7 separate regions of the Mus musculus genome follow, and all the other regions are reported to be linked to region 3. Evidence: microRNA targets listed by miRTarBase, many of them from high-throughput screens and not tested one by one. Region 3 holds a microRNA gene; each other region holds the end of a gene's coding sequence.

Region 1 (4,056 bases), not on the chromosome of region 3:
TAAGTTCAAAGACTTAATCTTACACAGTAGATCAGGTGCTTCGGGGCATGTTTATTAACCCTGACCTTGGAAGGAAGCTAAAGCCAGAGGTTTGAGAAATGTGAGATCAGCCTGGGCTACAAATTAAGACTGCTTCAAAAAAAGGAAAGTTGAAACTGACTTCCTGAGTGCAGGCAAAGTTACCAAAGAATTGGAACTAATGTTTGTTCGTCCATTTGCTAGGTTGGATATCGACAGCCCCTAGTTGCCGTACAGGTCAAATTTGACTCTGGTCTTAACAAGAAAGAAGTAACAGTTGAGTGCCATATTGCTGGAACCAGGAACCTAAAAAACAAGAATGAGCGTGACAAGTTCTTGGGACGTGTTTCGTTCAAAGTCACAGCACGAGCCTAGGAATAGGATGTCTCCACAGAATTCATGTTGTGTTGTCGCCATTTTGTATCAGCTGGACCTGCCATTCTAGGATTATGAGGCCACCTTGGAGGAGGAAGTGGTGTGGTACACACTTGGGTGACATCATAACATGCTTCCAGATCATAGTGTTCAGTGTCCTCTGAAGTAACTGCCTGCTGCCTCTGCTGCCCTTGAACCCATGTACGGTCGCCAGACAGGGACCAGTGAGCTCCCGACCCCAAACATGCAGAGTGGGGGCCCTGTCTTCTTTGTGTGTAATTGCCAAACGTCTAAAGCTTCATGTGCTGGGCTGTGTACATATTTTATGGATTTAACACTGGTAACTGCATATTTTGATGCCAACAAAGTTTTAGGGATACAATGGTACCTTGCCAACATCGAGTGACTTTAGCTGGAAGAAATGTCTGAGAAGCTCTGTATGTGAGGAGGGAAAAGGAAAATAAAGTGGATCTGAAAGTAGACTCTGCTTCTGCGCATGTGTGAGTGGTGCCTGTCCGTATGCTCCAGACTGTTTCTTACAAGGTGAACTAGACCATATCTGATTTTGCTGAGAGGACAAACTTTCTGTTGTAGTACATATTTAAAAATACTATTGGGCTGACTTTGAGTGTTGGAATCAAGTCTTCCACATTCGGGTATCTTAGACACAGGGATGAAACAGCATTTAAATTAGGTGAATGTGCACCGATTTTTGTTGTTGTTGTTGTTTTGTTTTTTGAATGAATGAAATTCCCAAGATATAAATTGTATAGTTTTTCAAACTGTCTTGTTAAGTGCTTTTATTTAGTAGACTGTGGACCCTAATAAAAACAAATTGTGAAATACAAAAACTTCAAACTGATTTAAAACTTGGAACACATGATGGAGTCTTCTTTCACATCCTGACTGGAGCCCTGGACTGTCCTTGTCGTCTCGGGTGGATTCTTGCTGGAACTGTAGTAACTGGAGCCCTTTCTGTTCTGAGGAGAGGGCCTCCATTTGACCCATGGGTTTCATTCACACGTATGTATGTATGTATGTATGTATGTATGTATGTATGTATGTATGTATGTTTGAATGAAAGCTTTTTGTTTGTTGGTTTGGTTTGGTTTGGTTTGGTTGGTTAGCATGCATGTATGTGAGCTGCCTGAGCTCCCGGTGAGTGTGGAGGCCAGAGAAGTGTTGAATCCCCCTGTGACTCAGGGCAGTTGTGAGCGGTCATGTAAGTACTTGCTCTTAAGCCTACATCCTTGGATGGAGAGCTCAACCACTGAGCTGTCTCCAGCTTCTCATTTATGGTTTTATCTCTCATTTATTATCTTTTTTTTTTATGTTTACTTATGTATATGAGTACACTGTAGCTGTCTTCAGACACACCAGAAGAGGGCATCAGATCTCATTACAGATGGTTGTGAACCACCATGTGGTTGCTGGGATTTGAACTCAGAACCTCTGGAAGAGCAGACAGTGCTCTTAACCACTGAGCCATCTCTCCAGCCCCCTCATTCCCCCCCCCCCCCCCCCCCCCCGAGACAGGGTTTCTCTTCTCTGTGTAGCCCTCACTGTCCTGGAACTTACTTTGTAGACCAGGCTGGCCTTGAACTCAGAAATCCGCCTTCCTCTGCCTCCCAAGTGCTGGGATTAAAGGCGTGCGCCACCACCGCCCGGCTATCCTCATTTTTCTAAGAGCTGTTTTTTATCATGGATGGTGCAGAGCCACATTCTGAGGCTTTCAGTGGTCTGCAAGCCAGACCTGGTGGGGCAAGAACCCAACTGTCTCAGGTTGGCTATGTGGGAAAGCTGAGGGAATTAGGTGGCCTTGCCAGCCAGGTGGCACCGCTGTACTTTGGAGGTGGACATTCTCCACTTTGTCATCAACAAAACTCCGTGATGCCTGAAAATTTAAAGGTGACCTTTCCTGGACTTGGACTTTTCCTTTGTGCTTTTTCTGTCTCTTGATTTTGCTGGGTGGTTTCACATGGCCTTGGATTAAGTCACTGTTCTGTTGCTGGGAAGAGACACCATGGTCAAGGCAGCTGTTACAAGAGAAAACATTCATTTGGGAGCTTGCTTATAGTTACAGAGGTGCTCTGGTGGAAAGCAGCGGGCAGGCACTGAAGCAGTGACGTCACACCCTGATCTGCGGGCAGAAGGAAACATGGAGTGGCATGGCCTTTGAAACCTCCAAGTCCACCCTCAGTGACAATTTCTTCTAAGAAGGCCACACCTGATCCTCTCAGTGCCACTCCCTGGCGACTAAGCATTTATATATATGAGCCTCTGGGGCCATTACTCAAGCCACCACAGCCATCCTGCCTCGGCTTCCCAGTTCATATTGAGAAAGTAAAGTAAGGATGGATAATTTGTAGCCTGGCACACGTACCAGACATCACCCTGAGCAACAGTTCTGTGAGACCAGGCTGTCCTGGTCTGCGGAGTAGGAACGGCAGGCCTGCAACCGAGCGGTGCCGACAGTAGGGCAGATCCTGAGTCGGCAGGTTTGGCTCAGGCACCATTTCATTAAATAGTTGTGAACTTAACTAAAGCCTAAGGCCTGGGGATGTTAGGTCAGGGCTTGCCGAGTATGTATGAGGCACGGGATTTGACCCCAGATACATGGGGCTGCAGTCTCGGAGCTAGTGAGTGAGTGCAGGAGCTGGAGAGACAGGCAGCAGAGAGCAGCGGGGACCTCCCAGAACCACCCACAAAGTGGTTCACAACTCCACTGCCAGAGGGCATCCTTCTATCCTCTTCTGGTCTCCTCAGACGCCATGCACATACGTGACAAAACGTCTAAAGTTAAAAAGTTTAAAGCAGAGTAGATCTGTAACCGAGAGCAAAGCTGTCATCTCGAGGTGGATTTTGAAGACTTGGGGCATAGATCCTAAGTCTTAACTGGTTTTCTTTCTGGTTCAGTTTTTGGACTTGGTCCAGTCCTGCCATGTGACTTCAGCTGACCTCAAGTCTTCAGGTTGTTTTGTTTTTTTGTTTTTTCATCTGCTGAACTTAGGAGTGCCTGCTTAACTTGAAGCATACTGAGTGAAAGGACACAGCCTATTCGAGTTCATTAACCCAAAGGGAACAAGAGAGGGCCTAGGAGTTAGCTCGGTTACACAGATGGCAGCGCTGGGTATGGGCAGAGGTGGTGCTCAGGAACAGGTCATTCCAAATGTCCCTCTGGATCTATTGTGGAAATGTTTTGGGAGGCAGAATGAGCTGGGTCTATGTCCTGTGGGTAATGAGGTGGATTTAGGAGTGTAGGGTAGTTGAGTCTGTGTTCTGTGGATAATAAGGTGGACCGGGAATGGGAGCCATAGGCCAATTGGCATCTGCTCCAGGCTTTCCTCAGAATGTAGGATATACACAATGTTGTCTGTGCATTTCGCTCTCTGGCGTGGTATGATTGATCCAGCAGCCTCCTCTGCAGGCTGTTCCCTCAGACCACAGAAAAGGATGACCCAGTCAGCTTGCACTTCAGTCACTGAGCCCAGCACTTAGCCCAACTGGACAGGAGATGGAGAAGGTTTGGTGTCCGTTAGTTGATTGAATCGTGGTATTTTGAAACAGTGTAATATTCCTAATGAAAGGAAAAATTGGGGGTACTTTTAAAAAGAGTTCCAAGCTGTTTTCTATGTGGGTCTAGGAGCTGGAAAGTTTTATATT
Region 2 (4,067 bases), not on the chromosome of region 3:
TCTTGATGATCAGATAACTCAAATTAACTGGTAGACCAGTGAGTATTGCTTTGATGACTAATGATTCTGGAAATATTGGGACTAGGGAAAAGTAATATAATTTGGGATTTAGATAGTCTTGTTAAAAGAAAAAAATGAAACAATAACAACTAAAAACCAAATCAAAACAACAATAAAAACCTACCCTCCCAGCCCATGTCTGTCCTGTTGCTCTCCCTTAAAATCTAAGTATCCCTGGGAAAAATAATGTACTGGGTCCACACCATGTTCATATAAATAAGAGATTTTAATTATCATTTTGCTTTCTCTGGAGAGACTGTAAATAGGAGAGTCCTTGGAGGCAATGTAGGGGATGGTGGTGGTAAGGGAACAAAGGCATGGTTGACAAGTACAACATCCACCTTCAGAAATGCACAGGACTTAATCAGGGGAGCTATTGAAGGCGCAAGCATTAGTTCCTTCCTAGCACTGACATCCATTTCTCATTAAGGTCATGTATGTAGTATATTTTAAAAACAACATTTTCTTTATGCTTAGACAAAAATTGTTCCAGCATCGGGCTTTGCAGAGGACTCGTGGCATTGGGTGATAATGTCTCCAGAGGAATGAAAACCCAGCAGCATGTTTTATTCTGGTTTCCTACTCTACTTTCAAGGAGAGATCACCTCATGGTTGATCTTTACAACAAAATAATTTGTATAAGCAGAGCAACGGGGTCACTAAATGATGTTATTTACAACACATTTTAAGGCTATAGCTTTTTTCATTGTGAAAAACATGATTTAGGAGCAATTAACAGGTACTTGATAAATTTGTGGTTTAGTTTCTGTGTTATCTCTTAAGATCTGTATCATGGAATCTCTATTTAGCTGGAATCTCGACTGTTTACTTTGGCTCTTAAACTCATATAAACATTTATTTATTGTGTGAACTGTTTAACAAACGTTTGGCTTTTATCTCCTTTCCACTTATTTTGGCAGGAGATGGGGTATCTGGGAGGCAGCCATTGTGCTCAGCACTTTGGAACTCTGTGATGTATAGTCAATACACACCTGTGCTGCAACTGCTAGGAAAAGTCTCTCTGCTCCCCTCCCCAATTCAGGAATTCATTCATTTTAATGAACTGGCAGCTTTACCTTCTCGTCATTAATCTTGTCTTTAGGTAGAAATCCATGTGTGTTCTTTCAACAAAGTCCTTAGTATCTATGTGGCCCTGAATTGTGCCTGTGAGTTACATACTTCCCCTACCCCAATATATACACATGGTATGGCGGGGTGGGGGGGGGGGTAGTATTCTAGAGAGCATACAAGGGCTCTATTAGAAGCATCCACAAATGGGAATTTCCATTCCAGTCTTCTAGGGCCCATGGCTAGTAGATTTATATGTATCACATAGCAAAATGACAATGAAGTAGAGGTGAGAACTGATTCCAGGAATAATAATGATGATGTGCATGGTATAGCGCTGAACAACTTAGACTCTCTGTGCCTCAGTTACTTCATCTATGAAATGAGCACAAGACTACTTCCTAAGGAGGCTAGGGTGAGGATCAAAGAACACATGGAAAGGTGTTTTTTAAATGACAAAGGGCAAAATATTATTAATATATTTTGTAATTCTAAGGATTAAACTCATAGACTCATATGCTAGGCAATCAGTCACTTGTAAATTGTTTTAGTACAATGAGATGTAATGTCTACCTTTATAAAGACAGCCAAAAATGCAGAGCACACCCAGGTTACCTATGGATCCTCTAGTATACAGTCATTTCTAAACCCTGAGAAAAAGGTGAGGTCTCCTACAAAGGATGACCAACGTCTTTATTTTTCTGAGGAAGTAAGAAAAGGAGTCTGAGCTTCCTAGGTCTACTCTGTTTTGTTTTCCCCTACTTCATAGTCTGAGTCACTTTTCTTGGCTCTCAATCTACAACCTATGGATGCATAACAAATGAAAGCAGCAGTACTTGGCCTCAGGGAAAATGGCATCAAAAAGCAAGGACTAAATACACACCCATAGTGACCCTCTGCCCAGATATGAAGATGGATGAACTCCAGCACTGAAGAAGCCAAACAGTCCTCATGGTGCATGGGTGACAGGTTATGCTCAAATGTCAGAGGCCTTTATTTTGGCAGATATGGGAGGCACATAAATATTTTATGGGCATAAAAACAAGAACCCCGAAGTGATGTGATGGCTTTTCTTTTTAATTTAAATTTTCTGTCCTTTGGAAGACTGTCTTTTACATTCAGGAAAGAAGTCTTTTCCTGAGGAGTTTACACTGAGCAGTGTAAAACAGAGTGGCTAATTAGGTGTGTCTGGAGAATGCAGCCTGTGTTCCAGTTTCGCAATTGCAGACTTCAAAATCTATTGCTTGAATCTATGGTAAGTCAAAGAGCATATGACTCTAGGTTGAGAGAGGAAAGATTAGAAACATTTGACCTCTTATCAATTTCAACAGTGTCCAAATAGGGACTAAAATGACTGATGCTCACCAGAGTCCCAGCTCTAGCAATATTGTCACCTATTTTACAGTATTTTAACCAAGTTCCCATATCTTCTTTTTACAACACCATTAACTGCTATACAGATAAAGTCTAGATGATAAAATAGGACATGATTTTTTACAAATAGATACAAGTACAATGTTGACCAGATAATGCTACATTAATTATGTACACCTTGTTTCTTTAGAGGCAGGAACCTCTTTGAGGAGACCATCAGCTTTCTGCTCTCTGCCTGCTGTGCCTACCCTCACCATGGAAGCTTATCCTGTGCTTTAACTCCATTTTTGAAGGAGACTCTTAGAAGGAAAGCCAAGCCCTTCTACAGAACTTCTTGGCACCTTTCTTAGTCTACACACAACCAAGATTTTTTTTATTAGCCTAGATATCATCTCTTCCTAAGTTACATCTCTTAGTACAGTAAAATGAACACAATCCCTGCCTCTCTTTTATAAAATATGTTTCCAAAGTGGAGATGAATTCTTCCATCAGTCTTTCCCCTCCACATCAACATTCTATCACATCTGGTGAGGTGAACACTTTCCGAGCAGTCCTTTGAGAGGCCAGGTAGACTTAGGCTGCTCTGTGGGATTCAGCCTTTCCATATATACATGTGGTTTGCTACAAAAATATACTTTACTTCAAGTCCTCGATGATGAGTGCTTCAGATCTTCATGGGGGAATTAAGAGCAACAGACAGGCTAAGCGCACTACAGTTTGTACCTGAACATTTGCACAATACCTTTCTCAACAAACTCTACCTAGGCTCTGTGCAGCCAGAGGTCAGGTGCTGTTTAAGTGAGCACTGTTTTCTGACAATCCAGGAGGACAACTCAGCTTCTCAGGCTTTGTAGTTATGAATAGGTGTTGTCAGGGTCAGCTGCCCATTGGGAGCCACTTCATTGGCATCGTCCTCTAACAATCCCGACACATCTGCATTGGGGATGCTGTCATGGTAGCTGCTGAAACTGATATTGTCTTCTTTCAGCTCGATGGTCCAAAAGGGAGCATTGAGTTTCCGATTTTGGTACTCTCGGTACATGTACACAGCTCCTACAAATCCCATTAGCAGCACTACCACAATGATGATGACTGTCAAAATGATGATGTTAAACTGGGTCCATGATACATCAGCAAGAGCTGAGGTGCTGTTTTCAGAAGAGCTTACTGCAAAGATAGTCTGCAGGGTTGTGGGGGCAAAAGTACTATTTATAACAGGGGTGGGCACTGATGTGGTCAAAGAGGCATTGGAAACCAAAATGGTAGAACCTTCAGGAGTTGGAACAATAACTTCTGAAAATAAAAACAGAGAATGAAATGTAAAAGACAAAATTATCTAGTTTTGAGAAACAATAAAAGAAATACACATGAAAGTGAAAGTTGATATGGAATGTTGACATGGTACTCTGCTTAGAGGAATGCAAGTTAAAAATAATTTTTAAATAAATACAATGATAAGAAATGGAGTCTGGAAAGCTCATTTATTACATCTTACATCCAGGTCTGTTCTTTAATGTGTATAACACCTACACCAAACCTTTAGAAAAATTCTAACATGGACGTTT
Region 3 (4,067 bases):
CAAAGCAGAAGCAGGTGGGTCTCTTGAGTTTCAGACAAGCTTAGTCTATATAGTGTTATCCTGTTTCCAAAAAAAAAAAAAAAAAACAAAAACAAAATAAAAGCTGGAAGTATGACTTATCAATAAAAACCCTGCCTTGAATCTACATGTTTTCATCTTAAATTCTTCCTGGTATTTTTTCCCTGTAGTTGGGTTTGGGTCATGGGTTGAGCCCACACGTAGAAACCCCAGTAAAGGATGGGGGCCAGGTTCAGTGGTGGAGTCTCCTAGAATCACCCAGTGAGGAGTTGAGGGCATGGTCAGGGGTGGAGCCCCACTTAGAGTCCCCCAGAAGAGATCTGTAAACATTCTGTTTGAGAGTATCAGCCTTTCCTAAATAGTGTGGCCGTTGCAGGAGGCTGAGAATGTTAACAAAGTCTTGTCCTAATTGACCAGTGAGGTAACAGGAAGTTTCTCCCACCGAGCTGAAGCCTGGAGAAGGCAGAGTTGGTTATGGGAGGTTATGTGAGTGGACTGTGCAGACCCAAGAGAGGAAACTGCATGGACAAAGCAGCCCCTGGGCTGCTGTGTGACTGAGTTTGATGTCAGCTTTACACGGGTGGAGCTTAAGGGAAGCAGGAACCTCAATTGAGAAAAGGCCTTTATCAGGTATTTTCATGATTAATGATTTAAGGCCATTGTGGGTGGTGCCATCCTTGGACTGGTGGTCCCAGATTCTATAAGAAAGAAGACTGAGCAAGCCAGGGGAAGCAAGTAAGCAACCAGTAAGCAACACCCCTCTATGGCCTCTGCATCAGCTCCTGCCTCCCGGTTCCAGCCCTGACTTCCCTCAGTGATGGAGTGTGGCCATCATTGTAAGCTGAATAAACTCTTTCCTGCCCTTTTCTTGAGTCAAGGTCCTGTCACAGCACCAGGATGCACACTAGGACAGCTGGGGAGAATTGCACAGTGGGGGATGGTTAGTGACTGCATTAGAATGTCACAGATGATAGGTGTTGAATGTTAAGAATGCCATGACCCACCAGACAACAAGTCCACATTTTCTTGGTATCAGTCATGCAACTAGTGGTTGCTTTGTGTGGCGGGCACAGAGTTTTATTGAAAATTGGGCTGGGGCTCCATGGGTACCGTACCCAGTCAAAGCATTTGAAATTCTGAATCCAACACCGTGTATGCTAGGCATGGTTCTCAGGGACTGGAGGCAAGAGAACTCAGTGTTCAAAGCCATCCTGGGCTACATTCAGAGTTAGAGAAAAGCCTGGACTACAGGTGACACTGTCTCAAAGCAGGCAAAGTGAAAAGAGTGAGGAAAAGAAAACAAGAAAGAGAAAAGAATTTCAGGGTTTTCTAGAAGTACCTTTGATGCCAATCCCTCTTTTAAAAGTTTTATGGCCGGGCAGTGGTGGCGCATGCCTTTAATCCCAGCACTTGGGAGACAGAGGCAGGGAGATTTCTGAGTTCGAGGCCAGCCTGGTCTACAGAGCAACAGCCAGGTCTATACAGAGAAACCCTGTCTCAAAAAACCAAAAAAAAAAAAAGTTTTATGTATGCACATGCTTTTAATTCAAACACTCAGGAGGCAGAGGCAGGTGGATCTCTGAATTTGAGGGTAACCTGGTCTACAGAGTAAGTTCTAAGACAGCCAGGTTTATATACAGAAACCCTCTCTTTTTTTTTTTTTTTTAAATGTAATTCTTTTTTTTTTTTTTAAAGATTTATTTATTTATTATATGTAAGTACACTGTAGCTGTCTTCAGACACCAGAAGAGGGAGTCAGATCTCATTACAGATGGTTGTGAGCCACCATGTGGTTGCTGGGATTTGAACTCTGGACCTTCGGAAGAGCAGTCGGGTGCTCTTACCCACTGAGCCATCTCACCAGCCCCAGAAACCCTCTCTTAAAAAAAAAAAAAAGAAAAATTTTTATGTGTGTTTATTTATTTGTGTGTGGAAGCATGTGTGTCACAGGACATGTATGGTCAGAGGACAACTTGCAGGAGTTGGTTTTATCCTTCTACCCAGTTGATCCTGGGGCTCAAGCTTGGGTTCCCTAATTTCAAAGCACTCTTTCCCTCTGAGTTACTCCACTGGCTCACCATTCCCTATTTGAGTCTCCAGAGAAAGCACGGTGCTGTGACCCAGGGCCCTGAGGTTGTGTCTCTGATCCTATCATGTAGATGTGTTTGAGTGACAGGCCAATAGCATGGGAAACACTCCTGCACTCTCCCAGGGCCCGAGACCTTGCTAGACACCCTCTCCTGTCCGTGCTAGACTTCCCTTAACCCCCTCCTGTCCCAGTTTCCTGCCCCTACCTGTTTGTGTATTTCAGGAGAAAGGTGATAGGAGTCCACGCTATGAGGCTGGCTGTGACTTGTTGTCATATCATATCAGAACAACAAAATCACAAGTCTTCCACATAGCACTGGCTCACGTACTCCGCTCCTCGTCCTCATCCTCCTCCGCCAGGTTCAACACCCTCAAGTGCTTCTCTCTCTCTCTCCATAGAGGATTGAGCATAACAAACCCCACTCACTGACTTACCCTCCCTAGACATCCCTTTTCCATTCCATCCCCTGAGACACAGGCAAGATTCATTCTCTACCTGCCCCCCAACTCACACCCTGGCACATCACCAACGTGGGATTTATTGTTCCAGGCACGAGGAGCACACACTTGTCACCCCAGCACGCAGGGAGTAGAGGCAGGAGGATGAGAACTTCAAGATCATCTTTGGCTACACAAGGAGTTCAAAGCTTGGTCTACAGTGTTTTAAAATAATAATAATTATATATATAATTGAGAGAAAAACTCTTTTTAAAAATAAAAAGAACTTGAGATTTAAAGTTGGATTGAGGCTGGCTTTCCCCTCACCACTTCACTTTGGAAATTAGTACACCCAGAGGCACTCATAACATCTCGTTGACCAAATGCTTCGCCTGTACTCTGTGAGTTTGAAGCCAGCCTAGTCTACATAGTGAGTTTCAGAACAGCTAGAGGTACACACAAAAAAACCCTGTTTCAAAAAAGAAAAAAAAAATCCCTCCGTAAAGGACAAATGCCAAGAACCATTAAGAGGTTCCTTCCCTGTACACTCTCCGCCAGAACAGACCCCAAGGCGATCCCTGAAGCTGGGTGTTGAGAGCTTGGCACTGCCAGGGGCCGGGTGCTGAAGCCTAGTCTCTTCGTGACCCGCTGGGAGCTGTCCGAAATCCTGGTGCTGAAGCCGAACTCTGCTCCGAGTCCCTCAGCCGGATGGCGCTGTCCGCGTCTCCAGTGCTGAAACATAATTAGTTATTGGGGGAGGGGGTGGTCAGTGCGGCTCGAGGACACTCTCCCAGCTTCTGCCTTCTGCCAAAATGCCCCGCTCCTTGTTTCTGTTCTTCGTCCTAGGGACCCATCTTCTGTTTTAATCTCTTCCCATGGACCCGGGGTGTTCTAGGCGGGGACGAAGGCGCAAGGCTCTCACCTGCTCCCACATCTCAGGGAGACAGCCCTGGGTTCTCTGCCCTTCCTAAACAGTCCAGTTGGCCTTCTGGAAGATGTGCCAACTTGCATTGTACCCAGAGTCCCCGCTTCCCTCCCTCAGCGCACCTTTTCCTCCTTCCTTCGTGCCTTACCTTCTCCTGCTCACCAGCAGCTGCAGGTGTCTCGGTGGCTGTCCAGTTTCCGACGTTTCACCTTTATGCGCTTAAGGGGAAGGCGGAGCGCTGGAAACCCTGGGTGGGGCTTAGCCAGTGAACCAATAGGAATCGTCTTGGAATGAAGCTCCAAGGATTACCTCATAGGTTGAGGCCTCGGCTTCAGAATAAAAGTCAGGCATCCGTCCAAAAACTTCTTTAGGGGTCTCCAGAAGGTGTCAGGGTGTAGTCCTGTGGCCTGTTAAGTTTCCACGAGAGGATCATCTAAAACCTGATCACTGAGTAGCCAGAGGATTAGCGATCATCAAGCGTGTGCCTGCTGGGACAGAGAAGCTGAAAAAAAATGTTTGAAGAAATTGAGGGATTTTGAAAATAAAGTCCAATTCTACACAGGGAAGATGAAGTGTGCGGGAATGAGACTCACAGAAG
Region 4 (4,067 bases), not on the chromosome of region 3:
AATGAGTCTTGAAGGCAGACTCCTAATGGCCTCCTCTCTCCCCTCTCATTCCCTAAATTTGGGTGGTTTAACAGAGTCCCCCTGACCATGTAGCTAGGGACTGAGAGTCACAGGGAAGGGAAAGCTTACACCTGGAATGTGAAGAATCTGATTTACAGCTGATGGCAGGTTGGGTTTCCAGAAGGGCAGACAGCGCAGCCGTGCTATCAAAGGGCCTCTGAAGTCCTACCCTCCACCCGCAGAGCCTCAGAGGACAAAGGACCCCGGAGTCACATTTCCCCCACACTCCAGAAGCATTCAGCCTACAGATTAGTTTTCAAGTGATCAGGAGAACTCAAACATACCCCAACCCTGAGTTGCTCTGCAGCAAGTCTATTTACAGTACTCCCCACCCCTCACCTCCGCCTGGAGGTAAGTCCGGGTTCTAAGATGGGAAGCCACTGCGTGAGGGGATTCCCCCAGGGCAATGGCCAGTGACTAGTTTCTCTGCCTAGGCTAGGAAAGGGGGCAGGGAATGAATTGAATTCCTGGTGAGGACCGCCTCCCGTCCATCAGGCTGGGATGGCCCTAGTGGCTCACACAAGTGGCCAAGGCTGCGAAAAGGGCAGGGCTCTGCAGCTGCAGCAAATCCCAGGAGAGAGGAACCCACACCTGGAATATGAAGTACTTTGGTCCAGGTTTGGTGACTGGAGAAAGGGAAAGAGGAGCATCTAGCTCATTTGAAAATCAGAACCACCGCCTGACAGGGCAGGGCAGTAAGAAACAGCCATCCAGCGTTTCCCACTAGGGAAAAATACCACGAAAGCTGTGACAGAGCTTCTGGCTGCTTAGCTGGGCAATGTCTCTCCCCTTTGGGAGGGGACAAGGGGATTAAAGGGACTAAGTAATAGCCTCAACATGAGACCACCCAATCTTCCACTGAAGAGACGACATTCCCATGAGGACATCAAGGACAGTTTAAAGGGGAACAGTGTCAGGGTTTTCACAGCCCGGCTACCTTAAACCTGCATTACAAGCTGTGTACAATATATAAAACAGACCAACAATTTTGAGGATCACACTCCCATCTTCAATAGCAAATATACATGATAATAAATTTGTTATTAACAGCAGGACCAAATGATGAATAAGGCAAAGACATTTAAGTTAGGGGTTGTGTCATCAACACAATCCGTTAACTGGAGGAGCAAACTCACTCATGTAGATCTAAATTCAAGCCTTTTTTTGGTGGTGGTTCCACCAGGCAAAGACAACGAAAATATATCATCAATACCCACGCGGCACAGTCTGATTCTGGGGATTAGAAAGGGTGGCAGGTCAAGTCGAGGAAGGTACCATCAGCCCAAGCAAAAAGCCCGGGTTTGGCTTTGTGAGTAGATGTATGTGTGTGTATACAAATCTATATGTGTGTGTGTATATACATATATATATATATACACATACATAAATACGCACGCATATATCTGATGGTCTATGCTTCAGTAAGGGAAAATTTTCACACTTTGATAACATTGTACAAAAGGCATCAGCTCCCATTTCAACAACAAATGGGAAGACTTCACAGTTCAACCATTAGAATCTACCCTGGAACTCTCCAAGTGTCAGCTTTTTTTCCCTCTCTTCCCTTTGTTCAAGTTAGGATGCTGGGAGCGTAACTGCTAACAGATTTGAGAAGAAGATAAATAGTGAACAATTAAAAGTCCGGTAAGATCTAACCACTGCCTGTCCCAAAAGTCCAAGTGGTCCAAGAGCTGGCAATGGGCAACACTCAATAAATAAATGAACTAAGTTAGGTCCACTTTCTCCAGTCCTAGAAGATTTGGGTCTGACCTGGCATTACACACAGATCCTTAGCCTATGGTCCACTAGATTAGAAAGGTCCCTATGAGCCAAGCGTGGTGGCGCACACCTTTAGTCCCAGCACCTGGGAGGCAGAGACAGGGGATCTCTGAGTTTGAGGCCAGCCTGGTCTAGAAAATAAGTTCCAGGACAGCCAGGAATGCACAGAGAAACCCTGTCTTAGGGGGTGGGAGTGGAGTGGGGTGGGCGGAGAATAAAAATAAAAATAATAATAATAATAAAAAAAAAAAGGACAGCCCCTACGATAATTTAACCCCATGGTGTATCTGGAAGTTTTTCACTAGCTTCCCCTACCCAACTCAGAGAACAGCCTGGTCTCCCTACCGTGATGTAAGATCTGAGCAGCTTGTGCCCAGGTCAAGGACTGTCAGAAACCAACTTCTCTGGGTGTGGAGTTCAGGCGCCCCACACTGCTAGTGGAGAAGAGACACTTCCTGGCCAACAGAGCGGCCTCCGTTGGAACACCCACTTCCTGTGCTGTTTCCCTACACCTTGGAAGACTGAGAAACGATGTATTGCTGGCCGCCAGGGAAGACCCACCTCCTAGATGGCGGGCGGCATGCCTCCCTATGTCTTTGTGCTTGGCTTACAGGACTCTGTATTCCTCCTGAAGCTCCCTTTTCTACGCTGTGGCCTTAAACCCTGCAGTCTCAGTAAGGTATGGGTGGGTGGCAGAGAAAACAGGAAGAGCCTGCCGTCTGATGGGTGTGAGAGTCTCGCTATGAGCAGGCTGCCAAGACCTTACTGGCCCTGAAGAGCCAGACACTCCCATGAAGCCAGGGCTTCGGTTCCCTTCTTAAGTCTCCCTGGAGCTTTCCCCAAGGGCTGAAGGACTCAGGCTGCTGGCCACTTCAGGGTTAATCAGAAAAAACTGAAGCCATCAGGAGGCTGTGGCTAAGGCCCTATCTTTCCATGTCTTATAGGAAGTCTGTAGGGTTTGTGACTTGAGAATAGACAATGCCCTCAACAAAGTGGCTCTTCTCTTGTGGGATCGGGAAGGGACACAGTTCAGCCTAGCACCCTGGGGAAGGGGCAGGAGGTCCCAGAGCTCGGACAGCCCTGGCCCTTAGCTGCACAAGAGCTGACTGGCTCTGAAATGACCCTCCGTTGCTTCGTGCCCTTTACCGTTTAGTTAGCGGATCAGTACTTAGTGTGTATGCACTGCTCATCTCTTGGGATGGGGGAAGGGGATGAGAACAAAACCAAAACACTTGAAAATGAAGAAGACCCATGTCCTTGTCCTTTCTGTAACCCGACCTTTAAAACAGATCACTTCTCTGCAAACCCCCTCCCTGCATCATGGAACACCTCTCCTCAGAAGTTCTGGCCACACCAACCTCCTAAACTATGGGCTATAATGCACACACCACACTTCGCCCTCGGTGAATGACAGAGACAGGGGTTACACTTTCTGCCCTGCCCAATGTGAGTCCATTCACCACAACAAGGCACCTTTCCCTGGAAGAAAGCAGGAGGCGTGGAAGCTTTCTCCTCCTCTGGCTAGCAGGGCTTGCTGGAAGAAGGTGGAGATGGGAGTAGACCCTACTGCCAATAGAAAGAGTCCAATCACCGAGTCCAGAGAGGAGATGCATAGATGGAGCTGGGCTGGAGGATGCTCAGAGCCTGGGTTGGCTGCACTGGAGAAACACTGCAGGAGCTCTCATGCAGGGATTAGGGTTGGGAGGCCATCTGAGAAGAGGAGGTCCATCCTTTTCCTGAGGAGCAGGACTACGCCAAGCTTCACCTGAGAATGGGTGGGAGAGGTGGGGCTCCACGGGCAGCTGGAGAGAAAACAGAAGATAAATATATTCAGTGCACGCGCCCAAGGATAGAACAGTTCTGAAATGAGACAGCCTCCTTTTTTTAAAATTTTTTAATTTTTTTGAGACAGGGTTTCTCTGTGTAGTCCTGGCTGTCCTGGAACTCACTCTGTAGACCAGGCTGGCCTGGAACTCAGAAATCTGCTTGTCTCTGCCCCCCACCCCCTTCTTTTTTAAAGATCTATGGTTGGTTTTTTTTTTTTTTTTTTTTTTTTTTTTTTTTTGGTTTTTTCGAGACAGGGTTTCTCTATGTAGCCCTGGCTGTCCTGGAACTCACTTTGTAGACCAGGCTGGTCTCAAACTCAGAAATTCGCCTGCCTCTGCCTCCCAAGTGCTGGGATTAAAGGCGTGCGCCACCACGCCCGGCTAAGATCTGTTTTTAATGTA
Region 5 (4,067 bases), not on the chromosome of region 3:
GGGGGAGGAAAAGGGTTGTTTTAGTTGACTTAGAAAATTTAAAATTATATGAGGCTGCAAACTACCTACGGGAACAACCTAGGACTTAGCTTGGATGTGGAAAACTCTTTTCAGTTTCTGTTTGTGCTCTTAGGTCTTTGCCTTGGTTTGCAGGGAGTCCTGTGTGACAGGGAGCCCTCCAGTGGAGCTAGGCTTCTAGTAGCAAGCCTGCTATAGAGTCAATGTTGGCTGTACCCGTGCAGCCTGCCTGGTGCCTCTGCCATGTTGGCCTGCATGGATTCTGTGCCCCAGGCATGCCCTGAGAAGATCAGAACCTAAGTGAACCTGTGCCCTTTCTCTCAACAGGGTGGCATGAAATGGAGCCAGAGAACCCCTTATTTCAGCCCAGTCCTTCCATGAATAATCTGGTGGCCCAGAAGAAGCTGGGCAAGAAGACCGGAGAAGGATTTTACAAATACAAGTGACACTTCCCCCAGCAACACCTCCAGCCAGCCATGGGACAAGGATGAGCAAGCCCTGGGCAGGTGGTACCGAGGCTTGCCAGGGGCGGCTCAGTGGGCCCTCCCTTGCAGTCTCTCTGAAGTAATCTTTTGACTAGTTGCAGTCATGGGGTTCTTCCACTGAAATGGAATTCTCTAGTTTAGTCTGTTCTCTGACTTTTTCTGAAAAAAAATTACACCCTTGGTGCCTTGGAGCAACATCTTTTTTTTTTTTTTTCCTGAACCTTGCCACTTTTTGTAAAAAGCGTTGCTTAGACTCATTCCCTCAGGTCTTCTGAAAATGAGTATTCTATGTTTATCGGTGTTGAACCCCAGGGGCAGGAGCCACGGGGCCTACAGATGCACCCAAGGGCAGCAGCCAGTAGGACGTGAGGTCTTGCCTGCCTGGGAACATTTGCAGCCTGCAGCCTCGAGCCTTAGCCTACATTCTGGGCCTGACAGGAAATGTTCTGTCTTTCTTTACCCCACACCAGGACTCCTGGAGTGGTGGGCAAATACCTGTGAGCTTGTTTTTTGGGGGAAAGGCCTATCTTTGAGGCCATTCAGATCTTAACCATCACTGTCCGTCCTTCTTGTTTCTTCCGGTGAAATCTGTGCTACCAAGTGCCTATGAATTGACTCTACTAAAATGAAATCTTTTAATTTGTAAACATTGGAATCGGAATAAATAAACTTATATAACTTAAAAGCATAAAATCCTTAAGTAATTATAAACATGGGCCTGTCTTCTCTGAACTCTGGCTGGTACTGAAGTGACAGCACGGGAGGGAGAGAAAGGTGGGGGGCGTGTGTGTGTGTGTGTGTGTGTGTGTGTGTGTGTGTGTGTGTGTGTGTGTGTGAGAGAGAGACAGATCTGTGTTTGGCCCTTCCACGTTCCTTACCAGTAAAATAGTCATAAGGGCACAAAGAGCGGTTTTTAAGAACATCTGTTTCTTCTTTGCCAACAAAGTCAAACAACGTAACATAAGATTCTTTTAATCATTGGGTTGACAGAGTGTCTTCCATGATAGAATGTGGAATTGGAAAGACATCTGAAGCCCTGATGTCCAGTGGCTTCATTAGCAGAGAGCTTAAGGGATGAGTCCAAGGTCATCAGATATTCAGTACCAGGTTCCGGATTAGATCTAGATTTTTGATGGTATAGACAAAAGAATGAGTCTGAACATGCAGATCTCAGCTCTCAGATAGCTCTTCCCCAGAACAGGTAGGTAATTGTAGGTCATAGTTTCATCCTGACGTTCTTGTTTTTCTCTTTCCTCTTTTGTGTGTGCTAAGAGAGAACCTACACATTTTCAATGCTCTGAGTGGATGACAGAGTGAGAGAGTGCACGCTGAGATGCATTTCTGCCTAGCAGCACACGAGAACCTGGCTGGCCTTGCACAGTGCCTGGTCCCGGGAGGGAAGCGGCTCAGGGAGTCTGCCTCGCCGTTTCTAGGTCACCTGTGGCCTCACAGCTCTGCTTGTTCTCAGGCTAGCTCGTAACCGTTGCTGTGACCTCTGGCCCACAGGCTTCAGTTTGTCACCCTCTAACCAGAGTCTACAGAGGATGTGGGCACTCATCCTGAAAATGGCCCAACTCTTTCTTAGCCAGTAAGTTTCAGGAAAGAGCGAATGCTCAATAGTGCAACTGTTGGCTTCCAGGGTGGGCAGGAGCAGAGCGCTGTTTCTGGAGGGTGCTTTTAAATGCACTTGGATCCTTCAACTCCTTTGCCATTGTATAATATCTTTCCCATGCATTCTGTCCTGGGGGACTGACCAGGAGGGACCTGGAGTCTTCTCTTCTCCAATTAGCACTTGGGGAGTGGTCTCCTGTGCCCTTCCATGGCTCTGCCTGAAAATCAACCTTAGTAGGACTCCCATCCCTGAGCTGTCTTATCTTGCTTTTGGTCACCCTTGTTGGGGGTGAGCCTTGGTTCTCAGCTTCTAAAGTTGCCTCCTAATGGTAGTATGTGGATCTTTCATAGCATTTGATAATCAATACAGTGTTTTAGGTTTTTAAAAAAATTTCCTTCCACAACCCCTCCATGACATTAATTCCGCCAACAGAAGTGAAAATTTCAAAGGAAATTCTTTGATTATTTTGCAAACATGTTACAGAACCAAACCTACCGTCTTTTAATGTCCATGAGATTTATTGTTATTGTTAATAACAGCAACTGAGGGGGGGCATTGTTTAATTTACTGACACGTGGTCTGAGGTCTGTTTCTAGGGAACTGTTGATTGATGTAGCGGGGGGTCACGGGGAAGCAGGTGTTGACCCCGAGAAATGCTGGTGTCAGCCAAGTGTGCGGTAGTCCACGCCTGTAATCCCTGAACTTGGGAGGTGGAGACAGGATGATTGTGAATTCAAGACTGATGTGGGCCATCCTACAAAGCCACTCAAAACCTTTTATAAAGGGATTCGTCACTGGGTTCGGCCAGGTGGTTAAGCCTGGCTAAGGTCAGCTTCCAGGAACTCGTTTGAGATCGGGCTGCCTGCAACTGAAGAAAGTAAAATCAGCACGTGAGGGATGGCTGACACACCAGTGCACGCTGGTGGTGCTCGCTCATGGTGAGTTAAGCTGTTCATACACGTGACATGGGCCTTTGTTTGAACCACCTTAATTTTAATCCCCTTAACATTTCAACCTAAGTAACTTAAGTCTATTAAAAATACAAGGTGTGGCTGTAATTCCACGGGGAAATTTTTCTTGCTAACAAGCATTGGGGCAACATAAATAGTAATCTAAAAACACTTGCGTGATGGCATCATTGTTATGGTCCCTCTTATTCCCCACCTGGGGACAGAGACTCGCGTGTCCTGAGCTGATTTCAGATTCCAGATGGAGCCCAGGATAACCTTGAACCTTGATCTTACTGCCTCCCTAGCCCTTTGGGTGCTGGGAACCGAACCCAGGACATACTGTGTGCCTCACAAGCACTCTGCCAGCTGAGCTATAACACCATACTTTGAAAAAACCCACTTGGTGGTGTCCTTTTTTTTTTTTTTTTTTTTGGCTTTTTTGAGACAGGGTTTCTCTGTATAGCCCTGGCTGTCCTGGAACTCACTGTGTAGACCAGGCTGGCCTCGAACTCAGAGATCCGCCTGCCTCTGCCTTCCAAGTGCTGTTTGGGATTAAAGGTGTGCGCCACCACTGCCCAGCTCTATTTTTTTTAATGATGTGGTTGTCATGATCACAGGGTTTCCCCACCTGTCTTGTCACCTTTTCTTAGTTACCCTGTTGAGATGACAAAGCACGGTTTCACCATGGATGATAGAGTGCTGTCGGGGGCACCGATGGTGGGTTTTATTTGCACCCACCAGTTGGAGCTGTTGGAGGATTGTCAGTTCTCTTCATGCCATGGGCTTTGAAAGGACCCCAATGGCTTGTGGTCTTCAGCCTCACTTTGCCTGAGTAACCCGGAGGTGTTCTTATCTCCATGTTCTGGGTAAGGCGGACATGGAGTCGGAACCTCTCCGTGGGGATGCTGATGGTCAGATCTCAAAGGATGATGCTTGTCTTATGGAGTGCAAAAAGACCCACTGCAGAGGAAGCCATGGGGTTACTTTATACCTAGGGAGTGA
Region 6 (4,067 bases), not on the chromosome of region 3:
CTGCCCCATCCGTCTGTCCTTCTACCTAGACCTGCTTCTGACCCACTGCTAGCTGCAGACCTAGTCTGCCCTTCAATCTTAAAGCTGAAACCTGCGGCTTTGAACCCAAACTCTAACTCCAGCAGCAGCTGCTCAGGATACTGATCTGGTTCTGTATCCATACAGACCCCGCCTACTTCTGAAGCCTCTTGAACTCTGCTCCAGCTTCTTTAACCTGAATTCACTATGTAAGCCATATATATGCATAAGGACATCTAGATATACTTACTGTGAGCTTATGAATTAACAGTAGCAATTAAGATAAAAACAAAAGAACCTGTATTTGCCTCAGCCAAGCAACCACAGTAGGGCAGGACTATATGACAAATTGCTGTCTTTGAAACTATTAGCCCTGGGCAGTGGTGGCGCACGCCTTTAATCCCAGCACTTGGGAGGCAGAGGCAGGTGGATTTCTGAGTTCGAAGCCAGCCTGGTCTACAGAGTGAGTTCCAGGACAGTCAGGGCTATACAGAGAAACACTGTCTTGAAAAAACCAAAATAAAGAGAGAGAGAGAGAGAGAGAGAGAGAGAGAGAGAGAGAGAGTCTATTAGCCTTGTGAAGTTACTGCTACTCAATAAATTCTGACATTATAGAAGGACATAAATATGTCTTGTTACTGGTATACTATGTTCATACAATGCAGAACTCACAATGACATCCATCCGACTACCATGCCCTGATCTGAGGTTGGGAGCTGCGGCTCTAAGGCAGCTCCTTGGAGTACTGGACATCCACTGGGTTCATCCATGTGCTATATCCACGATCTCTGCCCAGATCCTGATAGAGCCTGTGTAGCTGATCAGAGGCCAGGCTGAGCTACTTTTTTTTTTTTTAACATAAAAATGTTAAATTTCTACACAAAAATTTAGATCTAAAATGATCTGAGATCCAGGAATCCTGTTTAAGCATTTCTATATCATGATGAGAGACTCTTGTAGGCTGCAGTCACTAGGAGTTGACATGACTACTGTTCTGTTCCTATTCAACGTCAGGGTTGAATCTGAACTTCATAATGAGAGGGCAAGGTCTGTGTGGGAGCCCAATGGAAGGTAACTGTACTGTGATTTTTAAACAAGACAGAGGAGTATTTATTTTGTAAACAATGTCTAGGAAGGCATGCCACCTACTTTAAAACAGAAGTCCCCCAGATTTGTCCAAGTAACAACAAAGTGTAAGAGGATGACTTGTCAGTCTGAATTGTGACAGTGGCCACTTGGTATCCAGGATGCTTGAAAGCACAATGATGCATACATACTTGTTAATTAAATTTCTTTTACTTCTTTAAATTAGTTCAAGCTGCCCAGGCTTCCGTTTTGTCAGCTCAGACCTATCATCTCTCCTATTGTTAGCTCAAGAGGAACTCCATGATTCCTGTACATGGAGGTCTTCAGCTGGACCAACCGGAATAATTAACCCCCTGCTGTAACCAGAGGTCCAAGCGGGAGCTAGAATCATCTCAGAGAATAGCTTTGTTTTCAGATGGGGCCAAGGTCTGGGTGGATGGAGTGACTGGTCCAGGCCTTTGCTGGCTTTAGCCAGAGCTAGTCAATACTAGGGCTCTGAGCACTACCATGCATTTGATACAAGGAAGATCTCCTTGTGACTGATCATCACAAATACACTCTTTACTCTTGCCAAATAGCACACGTATAATTTTAACAAAATGCTCACCAAGAGCCCACCTTTCAATATAGGCCCCAGAGGGTGAGAGACATATTAATTATCTGGTCAGTTGAAAAAAAAAATTTACTCAAGCCAATGAGGGATAGTTTTCAGCACTTGAACTTCTTTTAAATAAATGACCCATGGTTAATTTATCATCTCCCAGTTTTTATCCTTTAATCTTTAGTTTTAAATTCTTGATAGCAATTGCTATGAAACCTAGGCCTATAATCGAGACTGGAGAGAGAAGCATACACTTCTGAGGCAATTAAATAAAGAGTCCGTTTTATTTTTTCATGCTAAGCTATGATATTTAATTAATTGAATATTAGTCTCCTCCTTATAGGGCTAGCTGCATCTTCCAACATTCTTGTGAGCTTGGAGAGATCTGCTGTGCGGGCATGTTCTAGAAGACTGAATGCAAGCATGTTTTGTTATCCATTCATTTGTGACTTCAATCATAACTGCATTTTCTGCAACATAAATGCTAAATTGTACAATATGCCTCTTTCTAAGCATATCAGGTCAATTGTTAAACAGACCAGTAGAAATGATCATATTACAAACTTAAACTGAACTACAGGGTATAGCACATGACTTCATTTAATATTGATAGCAGCTCAATTTAACAGTTGAAAAAGCAAACACCTTTAATAAATTTGGTGTGAATGATCATATAGCCTGATATACTATTGTACAGGAGTGTATACATATAAATCTATATGTTGAATTATGTACATTTCAATATATACCACAGATTTTTCCTACTCACAATTTTCTTTTGATAAAGGAAGCAGTTTCACTGTACACGATGTGAAATGCTACATTATGTCCTGAGTAATTGAGGGATTATTAATAAACTACTGAAAATTCTCTCTCTCTTTTTAGTTAATGATCTTGAAGGTTCTGTACTAAAACATGGACAAAGGATATTTAAAAGATTGCATCCAGCTTTGCACTTGTTTTATGCAGAAAAAGCTAAAAAATGAACAACAGCCTTTGAGGTTTGGGAAAATGCCCTCAAATAGTGAAGGTTAAACAATGTCTTATTTGTAGGGATTTCTGCAAGTTTCTGCAATGTTGCCTACATCCAATTTGTCAGGCATGGAAGACTCTTCTCATGATTGGCCTACAGATCCTTTTTACTGAACAGGACATTCTATGTAAACGTCAGTATTTAGATATTATTAAATCCAAATCCAAATGAACAAAACAATATGACATAACTTAAAACATCTTTGAAACCTAGCCAGCCACATGGAAGAAGTATAAAAAAAAAAGCATATTTTGGTGAAAAAGGAAACCAGATGAAAGTCACTTAAGGGTGGTCTGGTAAGCCACCCACAATGGGAAGTCCCAAGTTGGCTTGGCTCTAGGAGTCCCTAGATAAGCAAGCCACACATCCATCCTGCCACAGGGGATTGACTTGCTGTACTATGGGAAAGGCCACGTTCAAGTGCAGAGGTACAGTAACAACTGTCAATCAGAGTTGCCCTTGGCAGGCAAGCACCCACTCCCAAACTCAGGCACTAGATATGGTGTGAGAGGTGGTCTGGGCTGGCTGCTGCATGTTGCCACAACTGGAGGAGGCAAGCTGGAATCCTGGTGCAGGAGTCCACTCTGCATCAGAGTCTATTTGATGAGAAGGCACTGTGTTGGTGGTTCCTTGGTCGCCACAGCTCTACCCTGTCCCATGGCTGCTGTAGTCAAAAACTCCTTTCTTGAAGAATGGTGAGAATTCACAAATGGTGTGCTTGGACAGGGTCAGTCCCACTTTGTTGATGTGAAGGGGAGATGTCTCGGACTGGAGCATCACACTGAAAAACTCCCTGAGGTATTTCTGAGAAGAGACAAGAATGAAGATTATGGTCAAGACAGTGCTACAGTCAAGGAGGGGAGAGAAACTCTCCTGTGTACCCCTGGCATGTATAAACACTTACTTCATCAATACCACCAAGGAGAGAATGCTCCAGAGGTCCTTGACCTCCTGGGCTACTGTCAGCCTGTGCAGAGTAAACAGAGCAGTGACATCCAAGCCCACAGTAGGAATTTCTTTGGCTCAGGTCTCTAATCCACAGAAATGTCACCTGATGTCCATCTACTCAGTGCCATGAGGAATGCCAGTCATGCTAACCCTGGGCATTTTCCCTATGGCAACTTTACCTTACTTAAAATGTCATTGTCCTCTAAAGCTTCACACAGGGGGGTGGGGATGGAGGGTGACCATCTGAGCAATGTTAGCATTTGTATCTTCTTTGAATCCTATGTATCAAATAGGATCAGCTCCAGGCACTAGTTTTTACAGAACATTTAAAAACTTTATAATCATCATCAACAAAATATTCTTCCTAAGGTGAAAGGTCAA
Region 7 (4,067 bases), not on the chromosome of region 3:
GGAGGTCTCTGTCTCCAAGAAACAGCCCGAGAAGAAGGCAGCAACGTCTCTCCACCATGGTTCATGGCCTGTAGTCCCCCACCTCTCTCTGCTTCCTGCAGTCCCGTCGAGGGTTCATCCCAGGTGCTGAGTGAAAGCGAAGAGGAGGAAGAGGGGTCTGTGCGGTGGGAACGGCAGGCACTGAGCAAGCGGACATTGTGCCAGCAGGACTTTGGGGACCTGGACCTGAATCTGATTGAAGAAAACTAAAAGTGAGAGGCTGCTTCCTGGGCCCATGCAGACTGTGTAATGGTTACTAACACGTGTGAGGGCCCCAAGGCTGAGGGCCCAGCCTGGGAAAGGGGGTGAATGGAGGGCTCCTACTCAGGGCAGCCCAAGTCTTCCTGCTCCAGCAAACTCGACCATGCCAAGAGACTGGCGGGGACAAGATAAATGGAGCTGGTGACGGGAGGGACAGCCCCAGAGCAGACCCTCCCCATGGCGGCCCTGAGTGTGAGTATCCCTGCCACTAAGAGCAATGGGCAGGGAAGGAAGGGGTCTGCGACCCCAGCTCGGGGAATTTCACTAGCCCCTTTGCTTCAAAGGGCACTTGTGTCTTAGAATTTGGCCAGGGTGGGGGGGTTCAGTCAGCCTCCTCGGAGAAATTGTGTGAGTGTGCGTGCGTGCACGGGTGTGTACTTGTGTGAGTGTGTGTGCGTGCATGGGTGTGTACTTGTGTGAGTGTGTGTGCGTGCGCGCATGGGTGTGTACTTGTGTGAGTGTGTGTGTGTGTGTGCATGGGTGTGTACTTGTGTGAGTGTGCGTGTGTGCACGGGTGTGTACTTGAGGAAAGGTGCGTGCGTTTGTATAGCCTTAGGGAAGGAAGGCAGTTGCTCCTTTAACAGCAGAGCGTCAGGATACCCCCAGGATCTTGTGGGTTTTTTTGTTTGTTTGTTTCCTTAATATAACATTGGGCTTGTTCAAGGTGTCAAGAGGAGAGAGTTTTTGTTTTTGTTTTTGTTTTTTTTTTCGGTCTTAATAGCTCTGGAGCCAGGCTTTTAAGTTCATCGCATCACTGCTCTGTAAATGGTTCTGTTTTGGGGTCTAGCAGAATCTTTTGAGTACTATGATTTCAGCTAATGGGCTTTTCTGAAGTCCCGCCCTCTCCCACTAGATGAATCTAGTATTGAGGCTTGAGGCAGTCCCCACACTTGTTGTTTTCATTGTCTAAGCTGTCTGCAGCCCGCTTCTCTCGCTTGCTGAGAAGCTGCAAGCAGATGGACAACTGAGGCAGAGCTAAGGAGCTTGGGCGCTCTCCTCTTCCCCAAGGGGACCTTTCCTTTTCTGATCTTACAAGTCAGAGACAGGGTTGCTCTCCAAGAATGTGTTGAGGCAGACCAGGAGCAGTGACATTATTCCCTGGAAGTCCTTGAGGCCACCCTCAGCACTGCCTTTTGGAAGCTGGCTGTAGGGAAACTTACTCTTGCAATATCTAGGCCCGGTCTCTCTCTGATCTGCTTGAAAAAGAGGTAGGGTGTTCAGCATTTAATAGTTTGCTTGTCTTCCACACTTGCCAGGAAATGTTTATTTGCTTCTAATTGGCCCTGAGAGACCACAGAGAGGCTGGGGCTCACCGAGGGATTGACTTGGGGTGTGTAAAGCAAAGGCTATGAGAAGCAGCTGGGAGTTTGTTGTTGTTGGATTGAATTTCTTTTTTTGTTTCTCACCCACAACTTCAGCCAGTGCAGCAGATCCAGTGGTTGGAGGGATGGACTTGAAGATTGCAGTTACCTTGGTAGGGTTGGCACCTGTGGGCATGCATATAGAAGCTGTCACTATGCATCCTGTGAGGCTTTGTTTAGAACACCCTGTATAGCGAAATTGGACCTGCCCTTCCCAGTTGTTATAGTAAGGGCACTTTTCTGTTCAATTTCCATGGTGTCTTAAGGCCCAGTTCCTAGTGTTACAGAAGACAACTAAGGTCATGTACTTTCTTCCTTGTGGAATTGAGCCTGATGTTTAATGTCTCCCACATGCTAATAGGAATACTATAGAGGCGTCAGACTCTTTGCCTCCACTTCAGGGGAGGTGGCCATGTCTTCTTAAACCTGTGGCCCTCAGAGGTTCTACCTTCTCAAGGCTCCTCCCTGTCTCCTGGCTAGTTACCACATCTTACCACTGGGCTACCGGTCTCTAAGGGCCTACGAGAGACTCTCCTGAGAATTCAGGGAAACTGAGCCCAGGAGTTATCGTAGGTTTCATCTTTCCCTGGTTCTCCCTCTTTGGTCCATAATTTCCCTGGTGCCAGCTTCTTTTCCACCTGGGGCAACCTCATCCCTGGGCTCTCTGCTGCAGATGGCAGTGTCAGCCTCCAGTAGGTCACTGGCAGTGCCAATGGGGTCTCTGCGGGCCCCAAGTTTAAGTGAAGGCAGTGATTCTGCCTCCAACCTGGCTTTCCCAAAGCCCTTAGGTCACCGCCCTTAGGGAAGGAGGCCTACAATTGTCATATTTTAATTCCATTACTTTAAGTCTGGAATGTTAAACTAGGCAGAACTATCATCTTGCTTCCCAGTTTAAATGCCTCTGGCCCTGGAACAAGCCTTTTCAAGACGTGAATCGTTGGTTTTACACAGTAGCTCTGCTCCAACGGTTCTGTGTAAACCAAACGCTGTTTTTTAATGCATTTGGACTGCTGACCATGTAAAGGCAGCCTATGTTTGCTTCTTTTGTAAAGCAAGCAACTTCCCTCTACTTTAGCCAGTTTCATCATTTGGGTTCTCACACAGTGGGCTTACCCAGAGTGGAGCACACCTCCGGGGCTTGTGGCTGCTGCTGTGTAGACGCCTGCATCTGTGCTGCGTGTGTGGTGCGTGTGGCTGGCCAGCAGGTGAGTCTTACTGCGTGCGTGAGTGAAGCCACTCCCAGGCTGATGCTCTCCTCCTGTGCCCGGTGACTGCCCAGTGGCAGCTCTAGCTGCCCTTCATTCCCACCTGCTGCCAAAGTCCCTGTGCTAATGGGATTACAGAAACAAAAAGTGGAAAAAAATTTTTCGTAAACTTTGTTTTATATTAAAAAATCCATAAGTCTGTGTGTGTTAAAACATGAGGTTCTGCCTCTGTGGCTGTGTTTGAAAAAATAAAGTTTTATTAGAATAATCCATTTTCCCAAGCAACCTTGTGTACGATAGTGTCTTTTTCCCTTATATGTGCACATGTGTGTGCACAAACATGCACACACAAACACAAACACATAGAGGGAGAGGAAGAAACATTCCTCTTAATTTAACTTCATTGCAGAAGGGCAGTATCTGGACACTAGACTCTGTGATCAGACTCTGTTACCTGGGATTCTGTCGATATGGCTTGGTCCCTATTTCCCTGGTACTTAACACAGTCCTTTTCTGACATCATTCCATTTTCCAGCTAGTTAAAGTCAAGTACTAGTACATTCCAGTTCCCTGAGATACGCCTCATGGGATGGTTAGAAACCTGCCTGAGCTGATCCGTAGGCTTTGGGAGAGAACGTTTCTTCACATGCCAAATCCTGGAGAGATGGAGATGTAGTCATCAGAATTTAGATTCCAAGGACCTGGGTAACTTCTTCCTCTTAAAAATCCTGTTTGCAGAATTATTCTAACAAGCAAAGCTCTTTTGTCCTAAAAAGGATACCTTCTCTAATGCTTTTGTTGTTTCCTGAATCCTGCCTTTCCTATCCTGCCCTTCCTATGTTAACATTTTCCTAATGTGTATGGATGAAATATAGCTACTGAGCCAAGCAAGGGCCTCTTTCTATACCAGGTATAGGAAGAGTCAAGTTGCGTAGTTTACATCCTTTCCTGCTTCCCATTTGTGGTACTCATCTTGGAACACCAATGAAGTGTGCAGGGCAGGACTGGCCTTGCTACCTGGAGCAGGAACCTTTGCATGAAAATATTCCCCAGAGTGGGAGTTGCCTCCTGCCCTGGAGACAAAGACGGAGGAGTTTTGGAGATGGCTTAAGGGGTTGAAGACTGTAACTCTTCTGTTTCACCTTCACCAGAGCAAGGGATGGAATTTTAACAACTAAAGTGACATGGACATAGTCCCTTG

What was found. Region 3 holds the annotated microRNA mmu-miR-7b-5p (UGGAAGACUUGUGAUUUUGUUGUU, at 2,392-2,415, opposite strand). A microRNA usually pairs through its seed, bases 2 to 8, with sites in the 3' UTR of a target mRNA and lowers its output. Matches are read on the target gene's strand: a 7mer-m8 pairs with bases 2 to 8, a 7mer-A1 pairs with bases 2 to 7 and ends in A, and an 8mer does both.
Region 1: the mRNA of Atp1b3 is a reported target of mmu-miR-7b-5p. Seed matches in the 3' UTR shown: 8mer at 1,035-1,042.
Region 2: the mRNA of Megf9 is a reported target of mmu-miR-7b-5p. Seed matches in the 3' UTR shown: 8mer at 2,227-2,234.
Region 4: the mRNA of Wipf2 is a reported target of mmu-miR-7b-5p. Seed matches in the 3' UTR shown: 7mer-A1 at 3,375-3,381, 7mer-A1 at 3,320-3,326, 7mer-m8 at 2,390-2,396, 8mer at 2,354-2,361 and 7mer-m8 at 1,551-1,557.
Region 5: miRTarBase lists Hadh as a target of mmu-miR-7b-5p. Seed matches in the 3' UTR shown: 7mer-A1 at 614-620.
Region 6: miRTarBase lists Kif16b as a target of mmu-miR-7b-5p. Seed matches in the 3' UTR shown: 7mer-A1 at 2,961-2,967 and 8mer at 2,808-2,815.
Region 7: the mRNA of Fam53c is a reported target of mmu-miR-7b-5p. Seed matches in the 3' UTR shown: 7mer-m8 at 378-384 and 8mer at 1,539-1,546.

The regions. Positions count from the first base shown.
Region 1 is chr9:96,329,861-96,333,916 of GRCm38, reverse strand. It overlaps Atp1b3 (ATPase, Na+/K+ transporting, beta 3 polypeptide), which reads left to right. Exons shown (of 7, transcript NM_007502.5): 7 at 223-1,262. The coding sequence ends at 393. Among named protein-coding and RNA genes, the nearest start is that of Atp1b3, 33 kb to the left of the region's middle.
Region 2 is chr4:70,429,737-70,433,803 of GRCm38, forward strand. Megf9 (multiple EGF-like-domains 9) reads right to left here. Exons shown (of 6, transcript NM_172694.2): 6 at 2,191-3,795. The coding sequence ends at 3,344. Among named protein-coding and RNA genes, the nearest start is that of Cdk5rap2, 21 kb to the left of the region's middle.
Region 3 is chr17:56,241,365-56,245,431 of GRCm38, reverse strand. It overlaps Mir7b (microRNA 7b), which reads right to left and starts at 2,444; the gene lies at 2,334-2,444. It overlaps A230051N06Rik (RIKEN cDNA A230051N06 gene), which reads right to left and starts at 3,716. Exons shown (of 2, transcript NR_155493.1): 1 at 3,618-3,716; 2 at 2,627-3,276.
Region 4 is chr11:98,899,219-98,903,285 of GRCm38, reverse strand. Wipf2 (WAS/WASL interacting protein family, member 2) reads right to left here. Exons shown (of 8, transcript NM_197940.2): 8 at 1-3,641. The coding sequence ends at 3,601. Among named protein-coding and RNA genes, the nearest start is that of Cdc6, 6.5 kb to the left of the region's middle. RefSeq lists an enhancer at 1-1,633.
Region 5 is chr3:131,230,566-131,234,632 of GRCm38, reverse strand. It overlaps Hadh (hydroxyacyl-Coenzyme A dehydrogenase), which reads left to right. Exons shown (of 8, transcript NM_008212.4): 8 at 346-1,214. The coding sequence ends at 464. Among named protein-coding and RNA genes, the nearest start is that of Hadh, 40 kb to the left of the region's middle.
Region 6 is chr2:142,616,375-142,620,441 of GRCm38, forward strand. Kif16b (kinesin family member 16B) reads right to left here. Exons shown (of 26, transcript NM_001081133.2): 26 at 1,971-3,542. The coding sequence ends at 3,384. Among named protein-coding and RNA genes, the nearest start is that of Kif16b, 280 kb to the right of the region's middle.
Region 7 is chr18:34,770,610-34,774,676 of GRCm38, forward strand. Fam53c (family with sequence similarity 53, member C) reads left to right here. Exons shown (of 5, transcript NM_001357456.1): 5 at 1-3,151. The coding sequence ends at 249. Among named protein-coding and RNA genes, the nearest start is that of Kdm3b, 4.4 kb to the right of the region's middle.